Linked DNA regions of Drosophila melanogaster. The protein of the gene in region 1 interacts with the protein of each later gene in a pairwise test. Each region holds a gene or a part of one and is shown in the gene's direction. Other genes may lie near its edges.

The links.
Region 2: the proteins of su(r) (region 1) and CG8778 interact in a two-hybrid assay, tested with the Drosophila melanogaster proteins (one large-scale study listed by BioGRID).
Region 3: the proteins of su(r) (region 1) and ect interact in a two-hybrid assay, tested with the Drosophila melanogaster proteins (one large-scale study listed by BioGRID).

Annotation. Positions count from the first base shown.
Region 1 is NC_004354.4:9,195,896-9,203,887, reverse strand, and holds su(r) (suppressor of rudimentary), read left to right. Parts: upstream 1-2,067; 5' UTR 2,068-2,268; intron 2,269-3,691; 5' UTR 3,692-3,710; coding exon 3,711-3,755; intron 3,756-3,814; coding exon 3,815-6,619; intron 6,620-6,677; coding exon 6,678-6,835; intron 6,836-6,909; coding exon 6,910-6,997; 3' UTR 6,998-7,080; downstream 7,081-7,992. Other genes in the region: CG12118 (uncharacterized protein), read left to right, coding at 7,786-7,992.
Region 2 is NT_033778.4:12,650,733-12,654,533, reverse strand, and holds CG8778 (uncharacterized protein), read left to right. Parts: upstream 1-2,046; 5' UTR 2,047-2,128; coding exon 2,129-2,450; intron 2,451-2,513; coding exon 2,514-3,091; 3' UTR 3,092-3,233; downstream 3,234-3,801. Other genes in the region: ZnT49B (zinc transporter 49B), read right to left, coding at 1-224, 282-423, 476-1,346.
Region 3 is NT_037436.4:10,198,458-10,203,621, reverse strand, and holds the start of ect (ectodermal), read left to right. Parts: upstream 1-2,096; 5' UTR 2,097-2,219; intron 2,220-5,164.

The DNA of each region.
Region 1 (7,992 bases):
AATGTTCTGATAAAAAAACGGATTATTTTTTCGCAAAAAAGGATTATTTTTTCGATATTTTGAAAAAAGTCAATATTTCCGTTTGGTTTTTTTTCTTTGTTGAACTCAGTTTGATATATATTCCATATTTCATATTTGGAAAAGGAATTGTAAATGCCTAAAGTAGTGATCAGTTTTGTGAAGAGCTACTGGGTATCCGGCCAATCGACCCCTGTTTTAGTGAACAATATATTGTAGTTGCGATGGGCGCCATCATCACTCTCCGATCTTCGGCCCTCTGAAGGAATTATACCAAAGTCTGGGATGCCACCCAAATGAGGAATGAGCGATGTGAAAATGGAACTCAGATGCTGTCCGCTCAAATTCTAATTCCTGCAAAAAGTGGCGAAAGTGAATAATGGAATCCGGCAGTCAACACGTTTCGCCCAGACGAAAAACGCATTTGAATTTCGGCATGCATTTTGTAAGTAATTTATTAACCCGCCTGCATTGTGTATTAATTAAGCGTTCTGATTTACTACGCACGGAGTGAGGTTAATCTCTGGCCCCCTGTAGTCCCGAGTTATTTATTTCACTTTAATGGGCAGCCAATGGAGGCTGGCAGGCGTTAGTGGCGCCTTTCCGGGGATTTCGACTAGAAAAGGCTACTGCAAACAACTCATTCATCTGGCCATTCAGCTAGAGATTATCCCAAGTTGATGGCCAATGTCACGGGCCAGTGCCAACTTGGAACTTGGCACTCAGAATGTCTGCGTTTTTATGGCCAATATGATTACAATTTAATGGCAGATAAATCAAGAAAAGCAAATGCTCATGGCCAAAAATAAATGCTAGGAGCACCGGAAACGTATTATATATTTTATAATAAGTTAGCAATCTAAAATGTCTGCAACATTTTAGAAAATAAGCTATTTGTATTCTTTATGTTAAACACAACACTTTAGAATGAGCATTTCAATTAAACGATTGCATACTTCTAGGCCAAGTTTATGTAAAAGCCGCGTTGATAAATAAATCCAAAAGGTAAACTGCCAAAATGCGAACTTCAATTTGATTTGATTTCAAAAATTATCCAAATGAAGCTTATAAATGTTTAGCTTTTAACAAATATGCTGGTATATTTATCAAAAATTTTATGAAAGAATAACGATATATATATAATACAAATCCTCTAAAATAGCATTCTTTTGGGCTGTGATTATATGAATGAACTGATGTAATGTGCTACAGCAAAATCTCCAAAGTGAAACTACCTGATATTCAACTAATTAATATTTATTTGCAAACTTCTATCATTCTGCAAAATGTAACATCTAATCATTCAGTAAATAATCTTTATCTGAACTAAGAAAACTGAAGAAATAATATTCATATTATTATATTTTTAGTACCATTGCAATTATTAAAGCATCTATTTGAAATTCTGTAGAAGTTCGCTCAACTGAATACTTACTGTAGTAAATTGTAAGGTTGATTCAATCGAAACTGAGAGCGAAGAGTGTACAAACAAAACTAAGGCGATCGAATAGCACACCCTGAAATACTTTATCTACACTAAGAAAAGTTCGAAAAGATACCATCTTAGAGATAAAATTGGGATAGTGATAAAATCAAATGGAAAATATAAAAAAATTTGATAAAAAATAAACCTCTTAGATACTTTTACGAGATTGAGTTTTAAATTCATAATATATAATCTTATGTAATAAATATATAAGATCTTATCTCGTTATGATTTGCGTGTTTTTCTCAGTGTTCAACAACGTTAACAACTAGACAACAATGTTTTTGCAAAGACATACCAGACGAGAACTATATATATATATATGGATTGTTTTGAGAAAATAATAAAGATATACTATTACTTACTAGCCCAGCAACTTAACTTCATATTGTTATCTCATTGCGACTCTAAAGCTATTGTGTGTAAAATCTGATAAAGACCCCCCCCCCCCCCCCCATTTGGGAGCTAGGCTACGCCCCTGTGAAATGGGAAGACCGACGTCGGCAGCGACGCCGACTGCGACGCAAAACCGAGTTAACGACGATTTGGAAATCGGTTTCCAAGAGCATTTTCAATTGGGCGTTTCCAGTGTGAAGACCAATTCGAATTTTTCGTGTTTTTTTTTTTAGTCGCCAAACCGTCGCCAGTCGATTTTCACTCCAGCTAGTGAATAGCTATTATTATTATTTTTTTTCGCTGTGCTAATCTAAAGATTCTAATAAAAAAAAGTGTTCATAAATTAGCTAATAACGTTCCTTCGATCGGTATGTATTGCGGCCACCAATCTTGGCTAAATGAGCAAAAAGAAAAAAAATTGAAAAAAACATCTAACAATCAAACGAAACGAAACCCAATTTAAGCATAAGCAGCAGCTCGAATTCTGAACTTGTTTTTCGCATTTCGCCATTAGCATATAGCATATACATATGTACCTACGTATAATGAAAACATATTCAAAAACTTGCCGGACCACGAAGCCAAACTGATAATGAACAAACAGCAGCTGGGGGCTTCAACTATTATGACAAAAACGAAAAAAACAAAATACATCTATAAAAATTCTTAATCAGCGCGCTAGAGTGTGCGCGAGAGCGAGAGGGCGCGCGGCGCCGAGGGAGATAGCGCGTGTTACAAAATATTAATTGAATTGAATTCGATTGAAGGTCTTGTAAAGCAAAGCTCCACGTTTGTGTGATTAAAATAGTTATGGCTATTCACAAAAAGCCAAGTAATTGGTAATGTGAGAATGGTTAATATGTAAAACAACTTTATTATCGTTTATAATTAGGCAATAGCTAACAGTCGGTTTACTTACCATTATTAATTCACTGTGCTAATAGATAATGAATAATGTTTACTTTGTATTAAGCACATGCTTAGAAGATACAGCTAAAGGCATACAAAACAACTTCCGCCGTCGATTTGCAACGGTGACAGTTTTTTTTTATTAAATGCGTATTACTTTACAAAGTTTCTGGCATTTGGTTCATAATATAATAATAATAATAATATTTAATAATATAATAATATTTGTGGCAATTCTCAAAGTTAAAAGGAAAAGCAACTGTAAATAGAATATGTATTTCGAAGTTAGTTTATTACTTCTTCTAAGCTGAGATACATTTAATAGATACATTTACGCCAGCTTGAGATACTTAACCTACTAGATACTTAAATGAAATCGAAAGCAGAACTTCCGAATCGAGTGCTTGCCCCATTATCGCTAAAAAAAAAAGAAGCGAAACGGGCCCCCCCGATCGTAACCTTCGCCGGTTTCTAATCTTTCCTCTTCGTGGGGTGGCACCATTTATTTTTGGGGTTCTGAAACTTTTGGTGGAAAAACAGCAGATACAGAAACGTATAGAAAACCGGGTGGTGCCAATATGCGTGCCATCATAAAGCCATCATAATCTCCGCTAGCCGTCGCAGCCTTGACTGATATGATGATAACGCCCTCATACATAAGATGATAAGACCAATGGTGTGGCATTAGTGCACTTAGATACAGCGTCTTGTCCAGGATCGATTTGGATTTCGAGTGGGGCAGCGATAAGACGACTGGGAGTCACCATTCGCGATTAGGGTATTCTGGCTGCGATGCGATAGGGATAGGGTAGTTCGCCGATCTGCACGTGGCCATCAACCGCAGTCTGTAATCCATATGTTCCACTTTCACTTCATTAACAGGTGAAACAGTGCCAGCAAGATGAGTCCGCCCCAACTTTTGAGCAAGGACTCCCCAGATATTGAGGTAGGTCCTGGATCATGATTCACTTCCCGTTGATAGTGAAAACCTTTCGTAATTCCTAGGACCTGCTGTCGCTAAATCCGCGAGTGAAGACGCAGTGCTCCGTGGTGCCCACCAAGCAGACGAAGGAGAACAAGAAGCACTGGAAACGCAATGCGGATCACGCTGCTCCGCCGTGCACCACGCTGGCCAACGACTTCTCGGACATCAAGCACACCACATTGTCGGAGCGCGGAGCTCTAGAGGAGGCGGCCAGGTGCCTCAAATGCGCCGATGCTCCGTGCCAAAAGTCCTGTCCCACGCAGCTGGACATCAAGAGCTTCATTACGAGCATTGCGAATAAGAATTTCTATGGCGCCGCCAAGGCGATCTTCTCCGACAATCCGCTGGGTCTGACCTGCGGCATGGTCTGTCCCACCAGCGATCTCTGCGTGGGCGGTTGCAATCTGCAGGCCTCCGAGGCGGGACCGATTAACATTGGTGGCCTCCAGCAGTTCGCCACCGAGGTGTTCAAGAAGATGGGCGTGCGGCAGCGGAGGACACCGCAGGCGGAGGCCAATCCGCTGTCGCAAAAGATCGCCCTCGTGGGCGGCGGACCGGCATCGCTGTCGTGCGCCACCTTCCTGGCCCGTCTGGGCTATCGGGATGTGACCATCTACGAGCGGAGAAGCTATCTGGGTGGCCTGAGTGCCGCTGAAATTCCCCAGTATCGTCTGCCCATCGATGCGGTTAACTTTGAGATCGATTTGGTTCGCGATCTGGGCGTACGCATCGAAACGGGTCGCTCGCTGGGCACCAAGGATTTGACCATCCAGGGACTCCTGTCCACCGGCCATGATGCCGTCTTTGTGGGCATTGGCCTGCCGGAACCGAAGCTGAATCCCATTTTCGCTGGCCTTCAGCCCAGCAATGGTTTCTACACCTCGAAAAACTTCCTGCCCTTGGTGTCGGATGGCTCGAAACCGGGTTTGTGCGCCTGCAAGGCAGCGGCCGGTTTACCCAAGCTCCATGGCAATGTCATCGTTTTGGGTGCCGGTGATACGGCCTTCGATTGCGCCACTTCGGCGCTGAGATGTGGTGCTAGGCGTGTGTTCGTCGTCTTCCGCAAAGGATCCTCCGGCATTCGTGCTGTGCCCGAAGAGGTGGAGCTGGCGCGTGACGAACGCTGTGAGCTGTTGCCGTACCTGAGTCCACGCAAAGTGATCGTCAAGGATGGCCTGATCACAGCCATGGAATTCTGTCGCACGGAGCAGAACGAAAACGATGAATGGGTGGAGGATGAGGAGCAGACGCAGCGCTTGAAGGCGAACTTTGTGATCTCCGCCTTTGGGTCCGGCCTGGAGGATCAGGATGTCAAGGCGGCACTAGCGCCGTTGCAATTCCGCGGCGAATTGCCCGTGGTGGACAGGGTGACGATGCAGAGCAGTGTGAAACAGGTGTTCCTCGGCGGCGATCTCGCTGGAGTGGCCAACACCACGGTGGAGTCGGTCAATGATGGCAAGGTGGCCGCCTGGAGCATTCATTGTCAACTGCAGGGCCTGCCACTGGACACGCCGGCTGCACTGCCGCTCTTCTATACGGACATCGATGCCGTGGACATATCGGTGGAGATGTGCGGCATCCGGTTCGAGAATCCCTTTGGCCTGGCCTCCGCACCGCCCACCACCAGCACGGCCATGATACGTCGCGCCTTCGAGCAGGGCTGGGGCTTTGTGGTGACCAAGACGTTCGGTCTGGACAAGGATCTGGTCACGAATGTCTCGCCGCGCATCGTCAGGGGCACCACGTCGGGCTACAAGTATGGACCGCAGCAGGGCTGTTTCCTGAACATCGAACTAATCTCGGAGAAGCGGGCCGAGTACTGGCTGAAATCGATTGGAGAACTGAAGCGTGACTTCCCCGAGAAGATCGTGATAGCCAGCATTATGTGCAGCTTCAACGAGGAAGACTGGACGGAGTTGGCCATTAAGGCGGAGCAGTCGGGTGCCGATGCCCTCGAGCTGAATCTATCGTGTCCACATGGCATGGGCGAGCGAGGTATGGGCTTGGCCTGTGGCCAGGATCCCGAGTTGGTGGAGCAGATCTCTCGCTGGGTGCGAAAGGCGGTCAAGCTGCCCTTCTTCATCAAGCTAACGCCAAACATTACGGATATCGTTTCCATTGCGGCGGCCGCAAAGCGGGGAGGAGCCGATGGCGGATCGGCCATCAACACCGTTCAGGGACTGATGGGCCTCAAGGCGGACTCCACCGCCTGGCCGGCGATTGGCAAGGAGCAGCGCACCACTTACGGCGGCGTCTCCGGCAATGCCACTCGTCCGATGGCTCTGAAGGCCATCTCTGATATTGCCAACCGTGTGCCGGGATTCCCCATTCTCGGTATCGGTGGCATCGATTCCGGTGAGGTTGCGCTGCAGTTTATTCATGCGGGCGCCACTGTTCTGCAGATCTGCTCCTCCGTACAGAACCAGGACTTCACCGTCATCGAGGACTATTGCACGGCACTGAAGGCACTGCTCTACCTGAAGGCGAATCCGCCACCAGTCGATGGTCCCTTCTGGGATGGCCAGTCACCACCCACGCCGGTCCATCAGAAGGGCAAGCCCGTTGTCCGTTTGACCGGCGAGGGCAAAGCCACGCTGGGTTTCTTTGGTCCCTACCAGCGGCAGCGCGACATCAAGATGGCCGAGCTGCGAAGTCAGAAGGGAGCTCTTTGGGATGCCGAGCAGGTGAAGGCCACTCCTCCGGCGTCCAATGGAGCACCCAATCCGGCACCAAGAATCAAGGATGTGATCGGAGCAGCGCTAGACAAGATCGGGTCATACAACAAGCTGGATAACAAACAACAGAAGGTGGCGCTCATCGATGATGTGAGTGCTGAGTTATCATTAAAGTATCCAAATTTCTAATTGCATCCGTGCTTTCCAGGACATGTGCATAAACTGCGGAAAGTGCTATATGACCTGCGCCGATTCCGGCTACCAGGCCATCGAATTCGACAAGGACACCCACATTCCGCACGTGAACGACGATTGCACGGGCTGCACACTCTGCGTCTCCGTTTGTCCCATCATCGACTGCATCACGTGGGTTCCTCAATGTCACCAGCATCATATATATACTGGTTAACTAACTATATTATGTATTTATATATTTCCAGCATGGTGCCCAAGAAGATTCCGCACGTGATCAAGCGAGGAGTCGAGGAGAAGATCTTCTACACCCACGCTCTCAGCCAGTGCCAGTAAAAGTCCCTAGTTCTACGCGAAATACCGATAGTAAATTCCAATCTATGTAATTCAATTAAATACAAAACATGTTTCAAAAGCAGAAGATGGCATTCAGTTTTATTTGCTTAAAAATACGAAAGTAGGAAAAATAACTTTAAAAAAATTACTATGTTTATTATATCACTGATGACCAATCCACTTATTTTATAATCATTTTGATTTGAAATTCGTATTTGAAATTGGCGCGCAACTCAAGCTTTTCCCAACTTTATCGATGTCTATCAGCTGATTTTGGAGACCAATTTTTTAGCAAAAAAAAACAAAAATTCTATTAATATATATTGTCTGCGAAATTAACGAACAGTTAAGCTCAAGTAGCAACAACGAAATTTACTTTAATGTTTTGAAATATATATAACATTAATTATTTACCATATTACTTTTCTCATCCCTAATATAGGCGATACTATCGAATGGGATCAGCTGTTTGTCGATATTGAAAATTTTAGTTTAGAAAAACAGAAAAACGGAACGACGTAGGAATCCAGTAGCAGCTGTGCGTCAAAAAAAACTAGTCGTCTCTACTTTCAAATAGGCAATAGATTTAATCTGAAAACAAAATTCAACGTAAAATTCTAAAGCCACATAAAATCCGGCATTATTTGAAAGCGTCTGCAGAGCACAGCACTCCAAATCCAGTTCCGCCATCCAAGGTAAGCACCATTGTCGTCGCATTGCATCTCGCATCCAAAATAGCACTGATTGCCAGCAGATTCTACGCATTTACAGAAGCATATGATATAATAATGTCTCGATCATTGAGTCGCGTATTGGGTACCATCTGGGCGCCATCCCTGTCCATTTCACATACCGTACATCGCGGATCCAACAGACTGAACGACCTACTGAGCACCAAGGTGACCAACACGGCCATCATTCCGGTGGCTAGATACTCCAAGCGAAATGGCCCACCGTCGGATGCCGGCGGATACTTTAAGACCGTCAAGTCGCGG
Region 2 (3,801 bases), on another chromosome or scaffold:
CAACGCAAAAGATGCCAACGCCCGAAATCAGCGAGGAAACATATCGCATGTTCATGTATCCATATGGATGATCTATATCGGGACTCTGAGAGGACTTGTAGATGCCAAACGCGAGGATGAGCTGGTTGATTAAGTCGGCCAAAGAATGGATAACTTCTGCAAACATGCTGTGAGAACCGCTGTACAGCCAACCTCCTGCCTTGAAAAGCAAATTGGCTGCATTGCTAGAAGGAACAGATCTTATTCATAGAAACTTTAGTTTCTTAAGTAATATAACTCACATAGCGATGGCGGTGGCCACCACTTGCCCGGACTTCTCCGACTCCTTTCTGTTGTCGAGCATTACTTTGGTTCGAGATCCCATTTCCCTGCGGTAGTCACGCAACCGCCGTTTAACAGTGAATAGATCTGCGGAGTCATAGACTTTAGCACCCATATTAAAGGTAGAACGGACACAGGACACAAAAACACTTACTCTGCTGGTATTGCTTGCGCTCCACCTCCCGCTTGAGTCGCTCCCGCAACAGATTTTCCTTGGACCCCCACACTTCGACGGCCTTAGCCTCCACATCCCGTCGCCAGTAGACAGTCATGGGTGGCTCCTGCTCGTACGGCGATCTCCGCTTGATCTTGGGCAGACTTTCGAGTTGAGCAGCGGTCAACAAGAAATCGCTGATGGCCCGGTTGGGGGTCACAAAGTTGCGCTCTAGGGAAGCACGATAATCGAATCGGGGTCGCTTTAGAGGAATCACAGGCGCTGGAGGCGTTACCTCTGCAGGTGGGGATGTTCGAATACCTTCTCCCGCCTTTTCAGCTAGCACAGCACCAGACGGAGAATTTTTAGGTGCGCTTTTCACTGTTTCAGGAGGATTCATAACAGAACCAGAGCTCTCTCCCAATCCTACAGCACCAGTTGCTACTCCAGTAGACGTAGAACGTAGATTAATGGCACTTGCGGCCAAAACCGGCTCTTTCACCTTCGTTACCGGTGGCAGATCGGATTTTTCAAACACAATCTCGTTAATTTTGGAGTCCTCGATGGTGGTGCTGATAGACAGGATGCCCTTTGTGGTCTTCACCTCAAAGTTTTTCGTTTCCTTTGGCTTGGCAACTGGACCAGCGGTGGCCTCCTCCTGCACAGGTTTTTCCTTCTTGGAATCACTGCCATTGGCGCTGCAGCGAAACTGAAGGAACGTGCTTGGTCGCTTCCACGGCTGTAGTTTGAATGCCTCGCCGTCATGCCGCCTCCAAGGGTTCCTGCCGTCTTGACGTAAGGAGCACTGGCTAAAAGCCTTTCCCAAGTGCTGGTGTCTTCGCTGCAGGATCTGCACGCCGCGCAACAGCATCCTGCACTGGAAAGGAATACATATTAGGCTTATCTCTTCCACACATATGGTAATGCTTACACGGCGCGCTGCGTCACTATCGCACTATAGATTCCAATCAGTTCTTTTCTATTGTGGGGGGTGCTCCGTGGTTTCTCCTCTAGCGCAAAACTACGTCATGCGGGCCAAATGGAACGGGTGCAAAACGAATTGCGGTTGTAACTACTCCGGATAGGGTCGCTCTGTGGAATGCTCCAATCGTTCCTGGGGCCACAATCCTTGGAGCGTTGAGGGCGTACTTGCAAATATGCTTTAAATATACATTGGCGATTTTTTATACTGAAAATTTAACCATCACCGGCTGGCGCTTTTTGCCTGTGCTTTGGCCGTTGATGTTGTGGTTTTCTTTTCATGCCGAAACAGCTTGGTCACACTTACAGAGCTTATCAATTGTTCTCACTATGCAGCATTTTGAAGAGTGGGAGACGCAAATAAATACAAAGATCGCAAATCTAAAAATTCGTACCATGAAAGCATTTATTATAATTCTTATAAAGCGGCTTATCTTTATATCCATATACATTGATATTACTATTTTATATATTTGGTCAGAAGAATGCCGTAAAATGTTAAAGCAGTGTGAACAACCGCGGTTATTAACCGCCTTGGTGTCTTTAATACTGTTATCGATAGTGGCTTTAAGCTTTTGTCAGCACCAGCGGCAACAGCTGTTTTCTGCCGGTCGTTTTATAATCAGCTTATTGCCTTTTCTTGCTTTCTTTTTATCTGTTTTCAACGTTAAAATGTCAATGTTAATAAAAAGAGCGTCTGGTTTAGCTCGACAGTTAGCCCGGCCACTTGTTGCATCACGTAATTTGGCGTCGGCAGCGCCCTATGGCGATGGAACTGAAGTTCTCGTGGAGCGTTTGGATGGAGCTCGGCAGGGTATCTCAGTTATTGGCCTAAACCGACCAGCAGCAAAGAATTCCTTTAGCCGGGGAATGGTGGAGACCTTCAACGATGTCCTGGAAGATATAAAGAAGGATAATGGATCGAGGGTGGTTGTATTGAGGAGTCTGAGCCCTGGAATCTTCTGTGCCGGAGCGGATTTGAAAGAGCGAAAAGGTTAATCCTTAAATATTTTACATCCCTGTGATAAAGCTAACTTATCTTATACATATATCCCAGGCATGACTCCCGAGGAAGCCACCGAATTTGTAAAAGAGCTCAGGGGACTGCTTATTGCCATTGAGCAGCTGCCCATGCCGGTAATCGCCGCTGTGGATGGAGCTGCTCTCGGCGGAGGTCTGGAAATGGCTCTGGCCTGTGACATCCGGACTGCTGCTAGCGACACGAAGATGGGTCTGGTGGAGACAAGGTTAGCCATCATACCAGGAGCTGGTGGCACCCAAAGACTGCCCCGCATTCTGTCCCCTGCTCTGGCCAAAGAACTCATTTTCACGGCACGAGTGTTTAACGGAGCAGAGGCGAAAGATCTGGGTCTGGTTAACCATGTAGTGAAACAGAACGAAACCCAGGATGCCGCCTATCAGCAGGCACTTAAATTGGCAGAGGAAATTCTCCCGAATGGGCCAGTGGGCGTGCGAATGGCCAAACTGGCCATTGACAAGGGCATGCAGGTGGACCTGGCCACCGGCTACTCCATCGAAGAGATCTGCTACTCGCAGGTGATACCCACTAAGGATCGTTTGGAGGGACTCGCTGCCTTTGCCGAGAAGCGGAAGCCCGTCTACAAGGGGGAGTAAATAGATATCGTGCCACTCCCCTAACGTTAAGCTGAAAATTGCATTTATTATTTAACCTGTTACTGTTGTAGAAACACTTAAGCGGCAAAGTCCAGTTCAATTGTTTTTATTAAAAGCATTCGATCCTATCGAGCTGCCAAATAACTTGAATGACGCTAATTGTAGCTAAACAATTTTTAATACCTGTGATGACGCATCTCAATTTAGACATGGGTGGGAATACTAATTACAGGCATTAAAAACGACCGATCGACATACACTCCTATTTGCATTACATGAATTCGCCCAGCATAGAACTGCAAATTAGATGCAAGGTTCAGCTTGATAGTTCTGTCGTCGAACTATGCGGAAATCGGAATTTCTTGAGAATCCCAGAGTTAGAAACTTTCTATTGTCATGCGAGCTGAGTGTGATTGCATGGCAAATCAACCTACAAGTGGCAGTTTTTATTACCAGATGAGTGTGCCTTCGTTTGTCATTTGTAAAACAGGTAATTTGCATGCTGCAAATATTTGTATTACAGGGCGTGCCCCGCCACACTTATTGTGTTTTTGGGGCCTGCCCAAACAACTGGGTTCTGTCACCTGGAGCAACAAGACACAAAACAGGCGCTAAATAAATTCACTTTGTGGAGCCGCCGTTTAAGATTTAACCGGTTAGTCAAGGAAGTTGTCACGCGGATGACTGGGAGCGCGCACCCCCACTAGCCC
Region 3 (5,164 bases), on another chromosome or scaffold:
GTTGTGATTGTTGACCCTCTCCCCGTTTCTCGTTGGCCACCTGGCTTGACCCCAAAAACCAAGCAAGTGTCAAAGTGTATTAAGCCATTAAAATGTAAAATTATATGCTTTTTGAACTTGCTTTGGCTTGACGTCCCCCCTCGCAAATAGTTAAAGTTTGGCCAAGCGAAGAGTGTTGTTTGTTGCCTTGGAATGAAAGTTTCCTGGGCATTGTTCACTAAGCAGAGATTTGTTTTTTTTTTCAGATTGTTTTTCTATTTTTTTCTTAACTTTTTCTATTTTTTTTTTGGCACATTACATAAAATTTCGTAACATTCTGCGGCAGTCGGCAGAGACTCGGTTTCGGTTTCTGAAGTTGGAAGTTTAAGAAAACTCCACTGACCTGTTAACAGAGAGACTCTAGTATGCCATACAGCCAGTTAACTTGGCTCGCAGTGGCTCACAGTTGGCCAAGAAGAAAGTTATAGACAGCTACACTACAGTAAAAACAACTTTTGCCCAAGAAGAAGCAGCCATAAACGAGTAGAACACGTTTTACTGTTGGACTTTACCGCTCTCGCTGCCTCCGTCGACGTCGCTGCCGCAGCGGGCTGCGCTGCCTCCGGCGACGTCAACTGAAGCAACAATTTTCCCGATTTCCCGAGTATGTGGGAAAGCTCTGAGTTGTGACTGTCAATTTTCCTCGTCCCGGACACTGAAAATGAAACGTCAGTCACTCAGTCAGGGCGAATCGAATTAATTACACCTCAATTTATCATCGGATGTATTTCTATCAGCCGTATATTCACTCATTTTTTCCCCCAACTGCCCCATTGCGATTTCACTTTGAAATGGGCTGGTTCGCCTCGCCGGACAGAAGCAGAAATTAGCACTTGGGGAACGCTCCTCTATATATCGGCCATATATGCATAATGCTCGCTCGATCGCGGACGGGAGTATGCGGAATGGGGTTAGGGTGCGGAACGATGCCGGAATAAATCAATATTAATATAGCACTCTGCGATTCGCAACTCCAGGTGGCAAAAATATTTACGTATGGCTAATCGGGAAGGGGGTCTTATGAAGGAAGTCAAGGGAAAGAATTTGATTTGGCCATAAATCAAATAAAACTTTAAAGAATGCGGTCAAGGGAAGGTTATGGTAATCAAATAAATATTTTAAGCCTGTCTTGTCACTTTATCTCTTAATTAACAAACAATTTATTGCGCCTCTTGAAAACGTTCAATAATGGAAATGTTTTTTATATGAGTAGTATTCTGATCGTAAGTAGGTTAATTAGGTTTTAAAATGTTCTCTTCAGCCATAACCTGCATTTTATCCCACACAATTCTATTTTATGGCCAGGCTTTCTCATTTGTGTAATTGAAAATTTCAGTTTTATGATTCGTGCAGTAATTCAAATGGGTTTTATTGCCTCGGCTTTGTTCCATTTAATTTTTGTTTATTCAGAGTTGCAATAAAGCTGCCCTGATGACGACTCAACGAGACTCGCCCGTCTTGGATTCTTAGATCATAGCTCACGAGTGTTGGCTGACAAGCCGCTAACTGTTATAGCTGGCCGTTTAGTGTGCCAAATACTTTCCCAGGCCAGCCCAGCTCGTCAAATTAATTGAAGAATCGAGCCAAGAGAGCCGAGCAGACGAGCTGCGCCAGAGTCAGAGTCAGAGAAAGACGCAGAAAGCAGCCAAATGTAAATTCACGCTTCGGGCCGAGCTTCGGCTTTTCCTGAGCCAAATTGGGAAGTTGGTAGCTTGGTAAGTTGGTAAGACGAGCTGGCTGCCAGCGATCAGTTGCAGACGGTCAGTCGAGCGAGACAGTTGTGTGCGCGCCGGTGTTGGAAACCCGAACTCGAATTCGAACCACTGAAGAGCCAGCCAAGCTCAGGCCAGAATCCACCATCGACTCGAATCGAATCGAAACGAATCGAATCGCCACAAAAATAAAAAAGAAACCAACACAAACAGGTAAAGAGAGGCGGTAAAAAAGAAAGTCACTGCCCAAGAATCGGGCAGTAAGAAGGGGGGTGCTCCGAACTCAGGACTGAAAACAGAAAACTTCAAACTGAAAACTAAAAACCATCCAAGAAGCAGTTCGCCAGCGACAGTCTTTCACGGCAACTCGAGGAGATCGCACGAATCGGTTGCGAATCGGTCTATAAACCCACTACTATCGGTTGTTATCGGTTCTGTGCCACGATCAGTGAATAATATTTAGTCAAGGTTAGCCTTCGGATTACGAATACCAGAAACATTGTGTGAAAGCAGAGGGATCATCCGTGATTCCCAAATAATTTGTGTCACTACGCCAGCAAATTTTGAAATATGGCTTTAATATAGAAAAATAAATTTGTATTTTTCTTTCCTCTACAAATGGATAACATAAAATTATCTGTAACACTGAAGAGTGTAGAACATTTTCATATAAATAATTCTGAAGATTACTCCTACTACCTTTTGGTTTTCCTGCTTCGTTGATAAAGAAGTAGAACATTTTTTGTTATTTACAACAAAATTATTCGTGTTATATTTTCAATTACTGGAACCTCAGTTTAATTTAGAATTAACAGCTCCCTTAGATGAGATTGTCTAATTGATTTCGTAAATATTGCTCACAAACTTGTGAAATCTAGAGTGAATTTCAACTAACCAATAAGACCAAGGGCGTTTAAAAAAGGCTGAAAGGTTTTTAATAAATTCTGCTAATATTTACAGTACCCAATAAAAAAACTGTGAAATTGAACCAAGGATTATCATCGATTTTGCTGTGTGAAAATATGAGTATCCTTTAAGACTAAGTTGGCATTGGACTAAAAAGTACGTGAAAGTGGAGCGGCATGCCAGCGATTTCGATCTGTTCCATTTAACCTTCCACTCTTGTAGTATTTTTTTTGCGGGAAATGTAAGCGTTTGCATGCCCAGTTTTTCCTGACCCCACGACACACACCCACACTAGTTTCCTCCTCCTGATTTTCCTCGGACCCAAAGGAGGGCCCATAAAGCTCAGCTCGACGCGATGCAGCCTTGAAACGGGCCAAAACGTCTTGGGCAAGAACTTTTAATTGATTTTCAACTGCGGAAGGCAACTTGTGCCCGGAGTCGGACTCTTAACTGGCCGGGTCATAAATTGTATCTGCGGCAATTTAGGGCCAAGTACAATACACTACGAGTACAACACGATTCCCTTCCCTTTCCAAGACCAATGGCAATTTCTCTGGTTTTTATGCGCTCCATTTTCACATGTGCTGCTGATGTTGTTTGGTGTTCTGCGGTCAGCAGACCAAGCCAGGCCAAACCGAACCAAAACCAAACCAAACCAAAACGAACTATATAGAATGCGATGCGAACCAAGTTGAGTAATCATCTCTCGTGGCTCTCAGCTTTCTTCTGCCCAGATGACCCACATACGAAGCGACTTGAAGCAGTTAATTTAAGTGTTTCCTGGCCAGTTTCAGATTCAGCTACAGCATCTCGACCAGTTTCAGCCAAGTTATAGTTTACACTGTTTACATTGGCCAGCACTTTGCTGCCAAAACAAAACACACTCGTCGTCGGCCAACGGGGCGTATGAATTGGGCTGTGCATACTTGCAGCAAGGACAAGCTATTAACTGAGCAAAGTCTGCTGGCAATTCGAGTGGCTTTAATTCGTTTTACTCATTTTTCGTACATTTTTGTGTAGCTCAGTAGCTGGTTCATGACCAAGTTTATGCAGCTTGTCAGTCAGCAAAGTTTTCGAAAAGGGGATTCCCCTGTCCAGCCAAGACTGCCAGCTTGTTCCGCCAGGTGGCGCCGCCGTGACGATAACAAAGTCCTAATTCAAGTGACGTGCGAATGCATGCGAAAAAGAAACGCAAGCAAAGTGCAAAAACATAAGAGAGAACGATAGCAACTATTTTTGCGTGGACAGTGCACTAAAGCAAATTTAGGACATTTTTGTGCAACATCATGGTATAAGGCTCCAGAAGTTCCATGAACTTTGACTGATGACCCAAAAACTTTTTAAAAAACATATTATAAGTTTATGGATTGGAATAAACATTTTCATATCTGTCCTAGCTTTTTGAACTTAAAACATCTACATATGTACATATTCTCAGTCTTTGGCGAACTATTTTTCAGTACCCACAAACTTTAGTCGTAGACTTTTTAAAGAAGTGCCTCACCCTAAGCAGCCGAACCCCTTTTCTGTGATTTAAGCTCCCAAAAAACTCCAGCCCGTGCATCTGCTCCCCCCTAAAAAGCGCTTACTGCAAATTTAGAGGGGGCGTGGCCGTTGAAGCGGCACGTGTAAAGCTTATTTTTCTACACCACCTCGTGGGCCATTGTCTTGGAAAATTAACTGCAACGCAGCTGCGAAGACAAGGCTCCGCAAACATATGAGACAAACTCGAACAAAGAAGGATATCAAGCTGTGGGAAATCTGGCGCAGGTGGGCATGGCAGAGGGGGCGTGGCAGTGGGTTAGGATATGCAAATCCTGTCTGCACGTGGCCTTTTGTGCGGCCTGCATATTTATTGATATGACGCTGATATGACAATGCGGATAGAGGACAGGAACTGGAGCTGAGCCAAGGATCCAAGGAGCCAAGCAGCTCCAACATCAAGTGGCAGCTGCCACGCCTCAGGCCACCGCCTTCAATAGTTACCCCAGTTCCACCTCGCTCATCCCCTCCTTCAATCGCACTCGGTCCCCTGAGTGGGGCTTAAGTAATTTTTGCTGGCTATGTGACGTGCAAGTGCACAGCAAACACAACCCAAATGCACTGGGAGAAACTGAACCAATTACATATCTTTTAGAGATTTGATTGATTGCGTTTTTTAAAGATTTATGATATTTGAGATTTGTTTATAAATATGCTACAATATTTGGTTTATTTAGTTTTATTGAACTAATTAGTCTTTCGAACATAATTTAGTTTTGCAATAATTTCATCTTTTTTTCTGTGTGTACCCCTCGCCCGGTATCTTTTGCATCAGCATCACGCACATGAATATTAATGTAGAATGCACACACGGTTAGCTGCGTTTTTCTATGGGGGCATTAAAATATTGTATAGTGGGAGCAGCGTTCCATATGAGTTAGTTCCTACAATAGACAACACCAGAGCGGCTAAGAAGAAGAAGAAGAAGAAGACGAAGAATCTGATGAAGAAGAAGAGAGAGCCAA